Danio rerio: one gene and its partners. The protein of the gene in region 2 interacts with the protein of the main gene of each other region in a pairwise test. Links are inferred from orthologs where the notes say so. Each region holds a gene or a part of one and is shown on either strand. Other genes may lie near its edges. The genes, in order: srsf11, srrm4 and zrsr2.

Region 1 (3,658 bases), on a different chromosome or scaffold from region 2:
AACAGTTTAAAAAAATTAAATCATTAATTAAAAGACAAACATAAAACATTCGCAGAAAACCTCTAATGTTAAATAGCTCTACATTAAAGCGTGTAGGAAATCATTTTCTTACTAAATCTAATGAAAAGCACAGAATTTGGCTCTGAATTTGGAAAACTGAACTTTAAAATCTTAAATGGCAACTTTTATTATTATTTTAATGAATTAGAATGTTTTTGGCGATTCTAAAAACTCAAAAGAGAAGTTAATAAACACTCAACAGTCCAGACTGACCGGCTGGTGCTGCGGGAGCGTCTGGCGCTGCTGTAGCTCTTGGGTGGAGTTTTGGACCGTTTCCTGTACTTTTCATCCTTCCTTCGATCTCTACATCAGAAACAAACCAAACATCTGTGAGGAAACAAGCCAGCATCTCTCCACAATAACCCTGGAGACACCTGAGTGCCTCAATAGAGGACTAGAGATGAAAAGCCTTTATAAAAAAAAACATTTTTATACAACTATTATAGTGAGCAGAATTATCTACAGTTATCAATATAAATCAATCAGTTTTCATAAAATGACATTCAAATTTACAGATTTTTTTTATTTCACGTTGATTAATTTTTACATTCAACAACTTAACACAAATGTTTATAAAATTTTGTGTTGTAATTTATTGAAGCTCACGTCACAAAATAAAAGTAAAAGCAAACAATAAGGAAAAACTATTTCTATTTTTAGAATTAAAAACAACGTGAACTGCTGGCATAACTGTTATGATTTTGCTTTGTTACGTGCAGCAGAAACATGCCATCGTGGAGCCTTAATGGTTTATTAACCCTAAGTGAATAGTGTAGTTATTAAAAGTATTACAGTTAATTAAACAGAGTTATTGTCTGCATCCCTAGCTGACACACCCGAGGACTGACTGACAGACACTGACCTGGACCTGGAGCGTCTGCTGCGGTCTCTGGAGTGAGATCTCCTCCTGCGGGGACTCTTGGACCTCCTCCTGCTCCTGGAGCGAGATCTCCGCCTGGAGTGACTCTTGGAGCGCCTGCGGTCACAACATCATCATAGTAAGCCAAAACTAAAGCTGATTTTTCACCCCAAAGACTTCCGTTCATATGCACGTGAATGTGTCAGACTGGAAATGCAAGCTCATGCGACGAGTTTTGCAGTTCGCTGTGTTGCAAAGTTTAAGTTTGGTGAACTCTGATCTGTGAAATCGCATCACTGCATGAGACCAATCGAGGATCCAAACATGTCCTCTCTGCACAGAAATGTAAAATATGGAGCAATCGCTCGCTTTAAACATCTAATCATCTTGTTTGATCCCGGCCCTTTTCCTGGCGCAGTATGACAATTTCACACACACAAACTCCAGCGTGACCGCAGCTCAAGACTAAAGCTATTGGTCAAAAGCAGGAGAGCTCAAACAAAGCGTCCTGCAGAGTTCAGTTACAACCCAAACACCTTAATCAGATAGTCAAGCTCTTTATAGGTAGACTAGAAAATTATAGGGCAGATGTGTTGAATATGAAGGGACAGCAGCTCTCAAGGATCCAGTTTGGTCAACCCTGGTCTAAAGACATTTTCATTAACTGAAACATTGACCTTCTCATGTTTTACTTAGTGAACATTATAAAATACTAAACACCCTCTCTCTATATAAACTTTGTTTTTTAATATGAAGTTTTTCTGAATTCTTTATCATTTAATGAATTTCTATTCATGGCATTTGTGAGGTTTTGCATGGTTTAAATACTAAATGTTTTGCACAAAAGTGAATGTAAACATGTTCTGTGCACTCTGATAAACGACAACTACTAACACTAAACTAAATGCATAACTAAAACAAACAGCCATTATTGGAATGAACAAAAACTCAAGCGTACAGCAAACCTAAAAATACTACCAAAATAAAACTAATTCACAAATGCAAAACTACAATAACCTTGCTGTGCTCACAATTTATTCAGATTGGCCCAAATTTCAGCTCAAACTGCGATTAAGACAGACCTGTGTCTGGAGCGGGACCTGGATCTCCTGCGTCTGGATCTGGACCTCGATCTCGAGCGCTTTCGTTTATCATCCTTCTTACCTAAAGAGAAGCAGACACAATTTAGTGTAGCATCCTTCAATATTTACATGAGCAGAATGTCTGATGGGTCACTAGCCGTTTCAAACCACCCATCTTCATGCATATTTTGGAATATTGCAGTAAACAAAACTTACATGTTTAAATATATGAACATATCTAATAATTAAAAACACAGAAGTCTGCTGTGAACAGCTTTAGTGAATAAACTGTGTATGCACTTCATCAGTAGTTTCTGACAGATGCTGATCATATATTAATGTGTGTGTGTGTGAGGGTGTTTGTGTCTCTAATGTTGGTTTTCAGCTCTCCACTGTTGCGGATGTGAGATGTTGTTCAGACACTTAGCCCTCCATCAGTCCGTCATCACAGTGCTTTAGCATTATTCTTCTTTTATTATTATTATTCCCTCCAGAACTGTCTTGAGCATCTGTCTGTGCTCTTGTCTCCACCACATTCACTGCGTCCATTGCATGTGGTGTTCTGAGGCACAGCTCATGTATTAAAGAACAAACAGCACAGTGGAGAATCCCAACAGTGCAGCAAACTACACTTCTCTCAGCAATATCTGTGCAGTTTCTCGCTGCAATATTCCAGTTTGGTGCATGAATCTAATTCTCATCTTCGAGTGGAAACACAGTTACTTACTTCCAGGCTCGATGGCAGCAGAGATCAGAGATTGCGCCTCTCTCACTCTCTTCATGGCTTCTTCAATCTCTTTATTGGAGGCGTCTGCCTTCAGTCCAGGGGTCAGATTGAGCCCAGCGGCCAGAGGATTCAATCTGCAACAACACACAATAAATAGATGATTTAAAACAGAGTACATTTTCATATTTGGGTGAACCCTCCCTTTAATGCTCCATTTAATAAATACTATATATGTGGATTATTTTTAAAATTAAAATCACACAAAATGCATGATTGCAGATGAGGTGTTTGATGAACTTACTTGGGGTCTATTGATGCCATGAGCTTCATGAGCTGCTCAGCTGACAATGACTGAGAAGAAAAACATCAAGCATGAGTCAAAGAGTCCTGCTGCATAAACAGCTTCATGATTTGTGAGTCAGTTATGCAAAATTATAAATGATGAATTTTACAACACATTTAAGACTGACTAGCTAACTGAAACTAAAATGAACAACTTACAACCAACGTAATAGAGTTTACTTGCGCTTGTAGAAAAAAGGCCTTTGATATTTAAGAGTATATTTACAATGCAAATGAATTATGAGGGGAAAAAAAGTTTATTACATTGAAAATTTTATTAATCATTCAATCATCAAAAGAGTTCAAATAATCAAGGCATTGATATGCGTCATATCGTCCAGCCTTTAGCACTTAACATTAGCCATTTCTGTACAAAGGCTAGATGAGGTCTGGCCATTATTGAAGGAATGGAAAATGGTCAAACCTGTGGGTTTATATTGGGTGCTGCCATGGCCAGAGCTGCCATCGGGTCCAAGTTTGGTCCTCCAAGACCGCCGAGAGGGACGCCACCAATCTGACAAGACAAAGCACACGAGCATCACTACAGTGCAAGGAGGACCATAGACTGATTTCACGAGGCGGACATTT
Region 2 (3,658 bases):
TAAGTAGTGAGGTGCTCTCACAAGAGAGCACGAAACCTTCCAAATTAAAACGACATTCGGAAACCTGACAGCATGTTTTATTAACTGTTTAGTTCATGGTAACTGAACCTTTCCTTACCCTAACCACTGTTAACAGGATTTGTCGTTTTTACTTTGTAATATTTCTATAATTTGATACATTTTGTTAAATGACAGCAATAAAATATTGTTTATTTGTAAGTCTTGGTGATGTTCTAATGATTTATCTGTCACTACTTGTGTGTGGTAACAAATAAATACAAATTAATTATAATTGCTAAAATTATATTATAGTTCCTAAAAATTTGAGTCGCGGCTTGATGACCATGTAAAAATGTGGCCAAAATGTGGCCAAACCAGTTGAGAACCCCTGGTCTACAAAACAAGCCACTGTTATACAATGACTTGCCTAGTTACCCTAACTTGCCTTATTAAAATAATTAAGCCTTTAAATTTGCACTTAAGCTGAATACTAGTATCTTGAAAAATATCTAATAAAATATTGTGTATGGTCATCATGGCAAAGAAATCAGTTTTCAGAAATTAGTTATTGGAACTATTATATCAAATATATATTTCCATTAAACATAAATTGGGGAAAAACACAATGGGGGCTAATAATTCTGACTTCAACTGTATGTATATTTAAATATTTTATTTCCATAGAGCACAGAGATTAATTCACTTTGTGCAGAATATTTGCAATGATTTGAAAGTGTATGTACATTATATGAAAGCACTGGGAGCACATTACAAGATTTTCTTGGCTTAAAATAACCCTTTCATTCAGTGTTATTTCAAAAGCGAAACATTTGTTTTTTTTACCAACATGTGGCCCTGTTTGTTCTTCCAGATCTCCCTCCTGCAGCCCGTCACCCGTGAGGAAGAAGAAGAAAAAGAAGAGCTCAAAGAAGAGGAAGCGACATAGGTAGTGATTGATTTTCACATCAGGTCATGTTCAGAGCTTTGCTTTGAGTACGCTTTGCTAGATGCGGTGTGTTTGTTTGGTCACGACTGTCTTTAAAGTCAGCTCCTCTCTGCCTCCAGGTCTGCCTCAAGGAAGGGAAGACACAGGTAAATTTTACATTCAGTGTCTTGCTTCAGAATAAATGGCCCAGTGCTTTTGCACAAATGATACCTGACCGTTATTGTGAAGTGCTTTTGTGTTGTTTGCGGCTCTATCCATAAACCATCCTGTGGGACCTTTCCATTTAAACCCAATCAATAATTGTCGTGCTGTTTTTACAGTGGCTCGAGCTCCAGACGTAAAAGGAAGGAGGACAAAAAACACAAAAAGAGGTTGGTGATTTAAAAATGGGAATTTAATTATTTAACCCATCAAATCTCCATTTGTCTTTCTCACAGTTTAAGTACATGCATTTCACTCATCATGCTGAGTGATAGGATTACGTGCAACACTCAAATAGAAACAGAATGATGGCGAGTGCGATAAAAATGCATGGTATGTTTGTTGCGAAAGCACAATATTCACACAGCATGGCTCAGAAACATCCTGCTTGTAATCTAGAGCTAGTGACCCAATGTTCATACAGTATTCACTTAAGTTAATCAATTTAATTTTTATTTCAAAGTCCAAAATTATTAATAACAATTTTCAAGCTTCCAGAATTAAGAAAAAAATACATGCTCACATTTTCATCCGATGGGAATAAAGAAATAAAGGGTGCATTTTTTATGAGATGCAAAATAAGTGTCTAATGACTGTGTATGTGTCAGGGTTTCAGGAAGGATGAGGGAGCGAGGACTCAATTGCAACATAAGATGGTATTTATTAATAAAAATAAAACAAAAAGGACAACAAAAACCACCCCGAGGGGGAAAAACATAACTATAAAACAAACACTCAAACAAACTTGGATGGGCTGGCAGGACAAACAGGACTAGATAGCACACGACATGGAAATAACGACGATGAACTGGCAAAGGACTGAAAACATGAGGGGGATTATAAAGCAAAAAGTAAATTGACACACAGGTGAACATGACAAACTAATAATGAGTAAACAAGGAGGGTGGGACTAGACAATAGACGGGAGAGCGCATGACACAGAGAGACAATACAAGCCATGCGCTCACATAACACAACACTGAAGCACACGACAAAAGCACGTGACAACAATGTAAACACCGAGCCACGTGCTTTGACAAAAGACGCAAGACACGAGCACACGATGAATGAAAACACTCACCGTGCGCTCACACACGCAGCGTGCATGCTTCATCCCAGCGCCGACCAAAACCGAAACCAACAAGACTGAGACACTGGGAATGAAACACCACGCTGCTGACAGACGAAAACACAAACACGAGTACAAGAGCGCACGCGTCTGAGTGACGCAGAGCGCACGCGCGGCCGCATCAAGCAGGAGCGCTCACTCTGCGTACACCCACGACGGCGCGCGCACACACAGAGACAGAAACAGGACCAGACATGGGTAGTGTCCGAGCTCTGCCACCAAAACAAGAATTTACAAGACCAGAGTGGCAGAACCCTGACAGTATGTGAGGTTTCAGCTCAAAATACCCCATACATAATGTTTTAGAATTCCTTGAAACTGCCCCTTTTAGGCTTTGATCCTAATTGTGCCCTCTTTTTTAAAAGGTGCGGAGCTACAAATGCATTTGTGTCAGTATAGTAGCAGATTCAAAAACAAGACTAACGTCCTATGCCAGGGATATTCAATTAGTTTGGCATGGGGGCTGGTTCATGAAAAGCATCCCAAACGAAGGGCCGGAGAGATATGACTTGCTAAATGAGTGGTGACACTACTACATATAAGAGCCTGTATGCTGTATTTGTGCTCATAAAGACACCCACGTTGGCATTTTCAACATTAAAATGTTAACATATTGTATTTTAAACAACTGCATTGTCCAATTCACTTTTTTTGTTTACAAGCATTCAAAATGTTGTATTTCGCACAACAAAAACAGTGCATTGCTGAAGTAGGCTTCTTCTACATTCAGACACATTCATATGTTATGTTTTAAACAGCAATTAGTGATGCAACATTATAGATTTTGGTTGTACGATATAGTCTGAAGAATAATCATGGTTTCATGGTTATCAAGTCTAATGTAATTTAGAACAACAAGCTTTATATAAGGGAAGTAGCTATTTAGATTAACTGTTGTCATCATCTGGGTTCATGCGTATATAATCATTTTAATAATAATTGGTCTAACATATCTTTTGTTTACATTGCACTAAAAGGCACGCACAACTCTCACTGTGAGATTTTTTTTACTGCGTGCGCCCGGACAGAGGCAAGTGCGTTGCTCCGCTTGTGCGGCCATATTGGCATTCTTACATTAGAAATAACAAACTTGCGAGCGGAAAAGACATGATATGGGTTAGGCCGCTGCTACAGTTAATCCGGTGACCGTGTGTATTAGCCTCGGTGTACATACTTGGAACTTTAAACTAGTGCATAGTTGGCAACTTGTCATAACTTTTCTGTGCAACAGAAATGGGGCTTAGAGAAGCCTTCACGATTAACTAACTGTGCTGAATTAAAGCGCAGGTAATGGTGATATCAGCTAATCGTCGCATCCCTATTAATGATTACAGTGCATTGTACAAAAGGCATTTTCTACAAAACATATTCAAATGTTTTCG
Region 3 (3,758 bases), on a different chromosome or scaffold from region 2:
GGACCATTATTATTGTTAGTTATTTTGTTAGATTAGCTACAGATCTGGCTTAAGTACGAATTAGTCTAATGTATATGCACAAATATAATATTGTAACACTTCCTATAGAAATATTAACCCTCTCAAGGCAGGCGTTGCTGATTTGCAACAGTTAAAAGCATAGATTTTGCCTGTTTCTAAAATTTAATTTGAGCCTGAAAGGGTTAATTGAAATGATATATTTATGAAGTGCTCTGCATATAAAATATATTATAAAAATATATTATCATAAATTTCTCATTTCAATTAATATATCTATAGGAAGTGTTACAAAATTATATTGTAGAATTACACTTATCAATTTATTTAAAAGGCACCTAGAAGTTTCAGCTCAAAACACCCATCAGATTTTTCATTATACCTTTTACAAGATCCTGTTTTATACATTTTTCCACCAGGGGGTGATTTTGTCGTACTGCGCCTTTAAGGCGAGTCCTCCCCGCCTACTGTTTCTATGTGCCTTCCCGCGTGCTTTAATCTCCTCCCTCGGCTGCGTTAGACAACAGACAGACTTAAAGGAAGAAGATCTCACGTAGCGTTTGTTGGAAATACTACAGTAAGAACTTTACCAATGAGTATTTGTTGTGCAGTTGCACTGATGAGTCACATGCAATATCGTAACAAAGTTCACACGCGCGCGCACGCACGCACACACGCACGCACGCACGCACGCGCACACACACACACACACAGGCAGACAGGCAGACAGACAGACAGACAGAGCGCGCTTAGCTTTGCACTGTTTTTGCACGCAAATGTGACAGGATACAGGTTAATCTCCACTGCTGTGTTGGTATCTGTTATGTTATTTTATAAAATAAACCTGATTTAATGTCCACAAACAGAGATTGAAGCATCTTCTTTTATAATTATTCTGACATGCGGCTGTGCTGATGAAGTAAAGCTGAAGTGAATCACTGTAATTAATTACACGTGCAAATAATACTAATTATTATAAATTACAAATGTATATACACATATTTTAAAACTAATTTTACTATTTTACCAAGTGTATATAACCTATAAGTTACTACTGTAAGAAAATATCAGCATTCGGTACATACTTTCAGTATCACCTTTGCTTAAAATGAGTCAATCTTATGCTGTTTATATTAAATAAACCTGCACCCGAGCAGGTTTGAGCTACCAGAACTGTTGCAATGACATCAACTCTCGGATTAATTTTAAAGAACAAAACAATCCTGGATCGTGTCAAATCGTCAATAACCAAATCCAGCTAATTGAGTAATCCACATACAAAGAACGAACCCCTGTTCTCCTGTTCACACATTCTTGTCACCTCTTCCTCTGCTTGTAAACTCATAAACAAACACTTGCAATCGGTTCATGAGATCGGCCAGATTGGCGAGTACCGACTGAGTCATTAAATGTAAACGAAGAATCCCTAATTAAAACCATATACTACACATTACAATCACAGGCTCACCTCTTCTTCCTCCTTTCTCTGTTGTGCTGCATCCTCTCGCTCCTTCTTTAACCTGAATTCTTCCTGCGCAATCCTTTCTCTTTCCATCCATTCTTGGTGTAACCGCTCACTGCATTGTTAATAAAGTATTATTTTCAAAATATTTCCATCTTTTCCAACTGATATTAACTAATTAAATTGAAATTGTAAGGCCTTACCTCTCCTCATCAACCTTCAGTTTGTCCTCATCTTCAGCTTCAGACTGAAGTTCCTCATTTTGCAAATTGTTATCTGAAAAGTAGGGAAATGATGTTGCAATATTGGTTTTGAATCTTATGATTATATTATTCACAAAAAAATATTTTAAATTGTTATTTTACAGTATTACTGTTTTAATAAACGTTAAAAGACTAAATAAATGCAGTCTTGAGAGATTGCATTTATTTATTTATTATATTATTTATTTTAAGAGGCTTAGAATATTTAACCTGTAGACTTAAAATACTTTAACACGTAGTGCAGAAATAATAACTACTACTATAATATAATAAACAGTAAAATAAAAAATCTAGAAAATAGCTAATTAAATCGTGTCAATAACCGTGTAAATAAGTTACCTGCTTCTTTTATTTTAGCAAGCGCTTGGCGTTTTCTTTTTCTTCTTTCTCGTTTAAGAGCAGCTCGTCGTTGTTTATGACTAAGAAGTTGGTAAATAAATACATTGTAAATAATTAAAACACATCCATACTGACTGATTTAATACAGCAACAATGTCAAACGTCTGATACAACACCTGAGTACAACAGAAGGAGTTTCACACATATTCAACCGGTTCTCAGAGTCCTGTGTCTCTGTCTGAATCGAGCAACAATCCTTCTCCGTCATTTCAAACCATTATTTAACTCATATCGCTGATAAACAACAACAGCACAAGCTATCAAGCGCAACACATTTTCACCAATCATTCAACGCGCGCGCAAAGATGACATCACTTGCCGCTTTTGATCGGGCATGCTCAGTTTAGAAGTGGGAAGTCAGTTCACTTTACCGAGTCGGTTCATTTGGACAGATCGTATAAATGAACATGTTCAATTAAACTATGAAATCGTTGGTGTTGTTTATTGTTTCACCGTTGTTGTCCCCCCTGGATACTACATTTAATACCACTGTACTACTATTAGTAATAAAACAACAATGATAAAAAATTATTATATGTATTATGATGTACCACTTATTATACCACTGCGACTACTACTATTAGTAATTTAATTATTATTAGTTTATTATAATTATAATAAACAATAATACATTTATATTAACAACAACAAAAATGTTTTAATACCGACAATAACAACAACAACAATAACAATTTTGTTAATATTATTTTGTTGTTGTTATTATTATTATTATTATTATTATTATTATTATTATTATTATTATTATTATTATTATTATTATTATTATTATTATTATAGTAATAGCATTGATATTTAACAACAAAAAAAGAGTCGGTTCAAATGAACGACTCGCTTGTGAATCGGACATCACTACCTCACGTTGGTTTTGCGCTTGTGAGATACGCGAACTGGTTTTGCAAGTGACGTGTGTTGAGTGTAAAAGCCTGTTTTTTCTGCTTTTTGGCTCTATATCCCTGGTCCATTCAGTGGCTACCCCACAGAAAAGTACGCCAAAATGGCCGATAAAGAAGGTAAACTTTTTCCGTAGTGAATTACGTGCAGTATTTATTCTTTTGCCAGAGTTTGCTAGCGTTAGCCTAATGTGCTAACGTTAATGGATGCGACCCACATACTGTCATAAGAATGAATGAGTGTCACAATTTTCTTTATCAAAAACTTGCTTTTCGTGAATTGTATGGCAACTAGCGTGATTAAATTACTATTATTTACATACTGGCTTGAAAACAAGTAATAGCTTCTCAAAGCAGACTGAAACTCCGTTGTTCGCTGATTTCCCTCCATCATTCATATGCTGCTGCTGTGTATCTACTAACGTTAATTCAGGAAATCCCATCTTTACTCTTTAGTTCTGCTAATTTATGTGGGAGCACATCAACTTTCTACTACACAACGCTCTTTCACAGTTAAGTCTTTGTGAAATGTGATCATTTGCATACATTTGGCCTAAAATAAATAAATAAATAAACAAATAAATAGAGAGAAAACACGTTATGCTTGTAATGAAGTCTTTACATTGGTCAACTTCAGTGTGGATTTGATAAGTCCTTTATAAGTTCATAATGCATTTCATGGGTTCGCTCAAGTCTATCCTTCAA

What was found.
Region 1: the proteins of srrm4 (region 2) and srsf11 interact in binary tests that used the Homo sapiens proteins (3 or more experiments, as listed by UniProt). The link is inferred for Danio rerio from reciprocal best matches to the Homo sapiens genes SRRM4 and SRSF11.
Region 3: the proteins of srrm4 (region 2) and zrsr2 interact in binary tests that used the Homo sapiens proteins (3 or more experiments, as listed by UniProt). The link is inferred for Danio rerio from reciprocal best matches to the Homo sapiens genes SRRM4 and ZRSR2.

The regions. Positions count from the first base shown.
Region 1 is NC_133186.1:47,584,523-47,588,180, reverse strand, and holds part of srsf11 (serine/arginine-rich splicing factor 11), read right to left. Parts: intron 3,585-3,658; coding exon 3,495-3,584; intron 3,080-3,494; coding exon 3,030-3,079; intron 2,863-3,029; coding exon 2,729-2,862; intron 2,084-2,728; coding exon 2,002-2,083; intron 1,037-2,001; coding exon 923-1,036; intron 364-922; coding exon 274-363; intron 1-273. UniProt on the Homo sapiens protein: May function in pre-mRNA splicing.
Region 2 is NC_133180.1:16,513,231-16,516,888, forward strand, and holds part of srrm4 (serine/arginine repetitive matrix protein 4), read left to right. Parts: intron 1-871; coding exon 872-946; intron 947-1,065; coding exon 1,066-1,092; intron 1,093-1,266; coding exon 1,267-1,317; intron 1,318-3,658. UniProt on the Homo sapiens protein: Splicing factor specifically required for neural cell differentiation.
Region 3 is NC_133186.1:13,231,276-13,235,033, forward strand, and holds the start of zrsr2 (U2 small nuclear ribonucleoprotein auxiliary factor 35 kDa subunit-related protein 2), read right to left. Parts: upstream 2,429-3,758; 5' UTR 2,351-2,428; coding exon 2,259-2,350; intron 2,163-2,258; coding exon 2,083-2,162; intron 1,757-2,082; coding exon 1,684-1,756; intron 1,596-1,683; coding exon 1,487-1,595; intron 1-1,486. Other genes in the region: histone-binding protein RBBP7, read left to right, coding at 3,158-3,173. UniProt on the Homo sapiens protein: Pre-mRNA-binding protein required for splicing of both U2- and U12-type introns. Selectively interacts with the 3'-splice site of U2- and U12-type pre-mRNAs and promotes different steps in U2 and U12 intron splicing.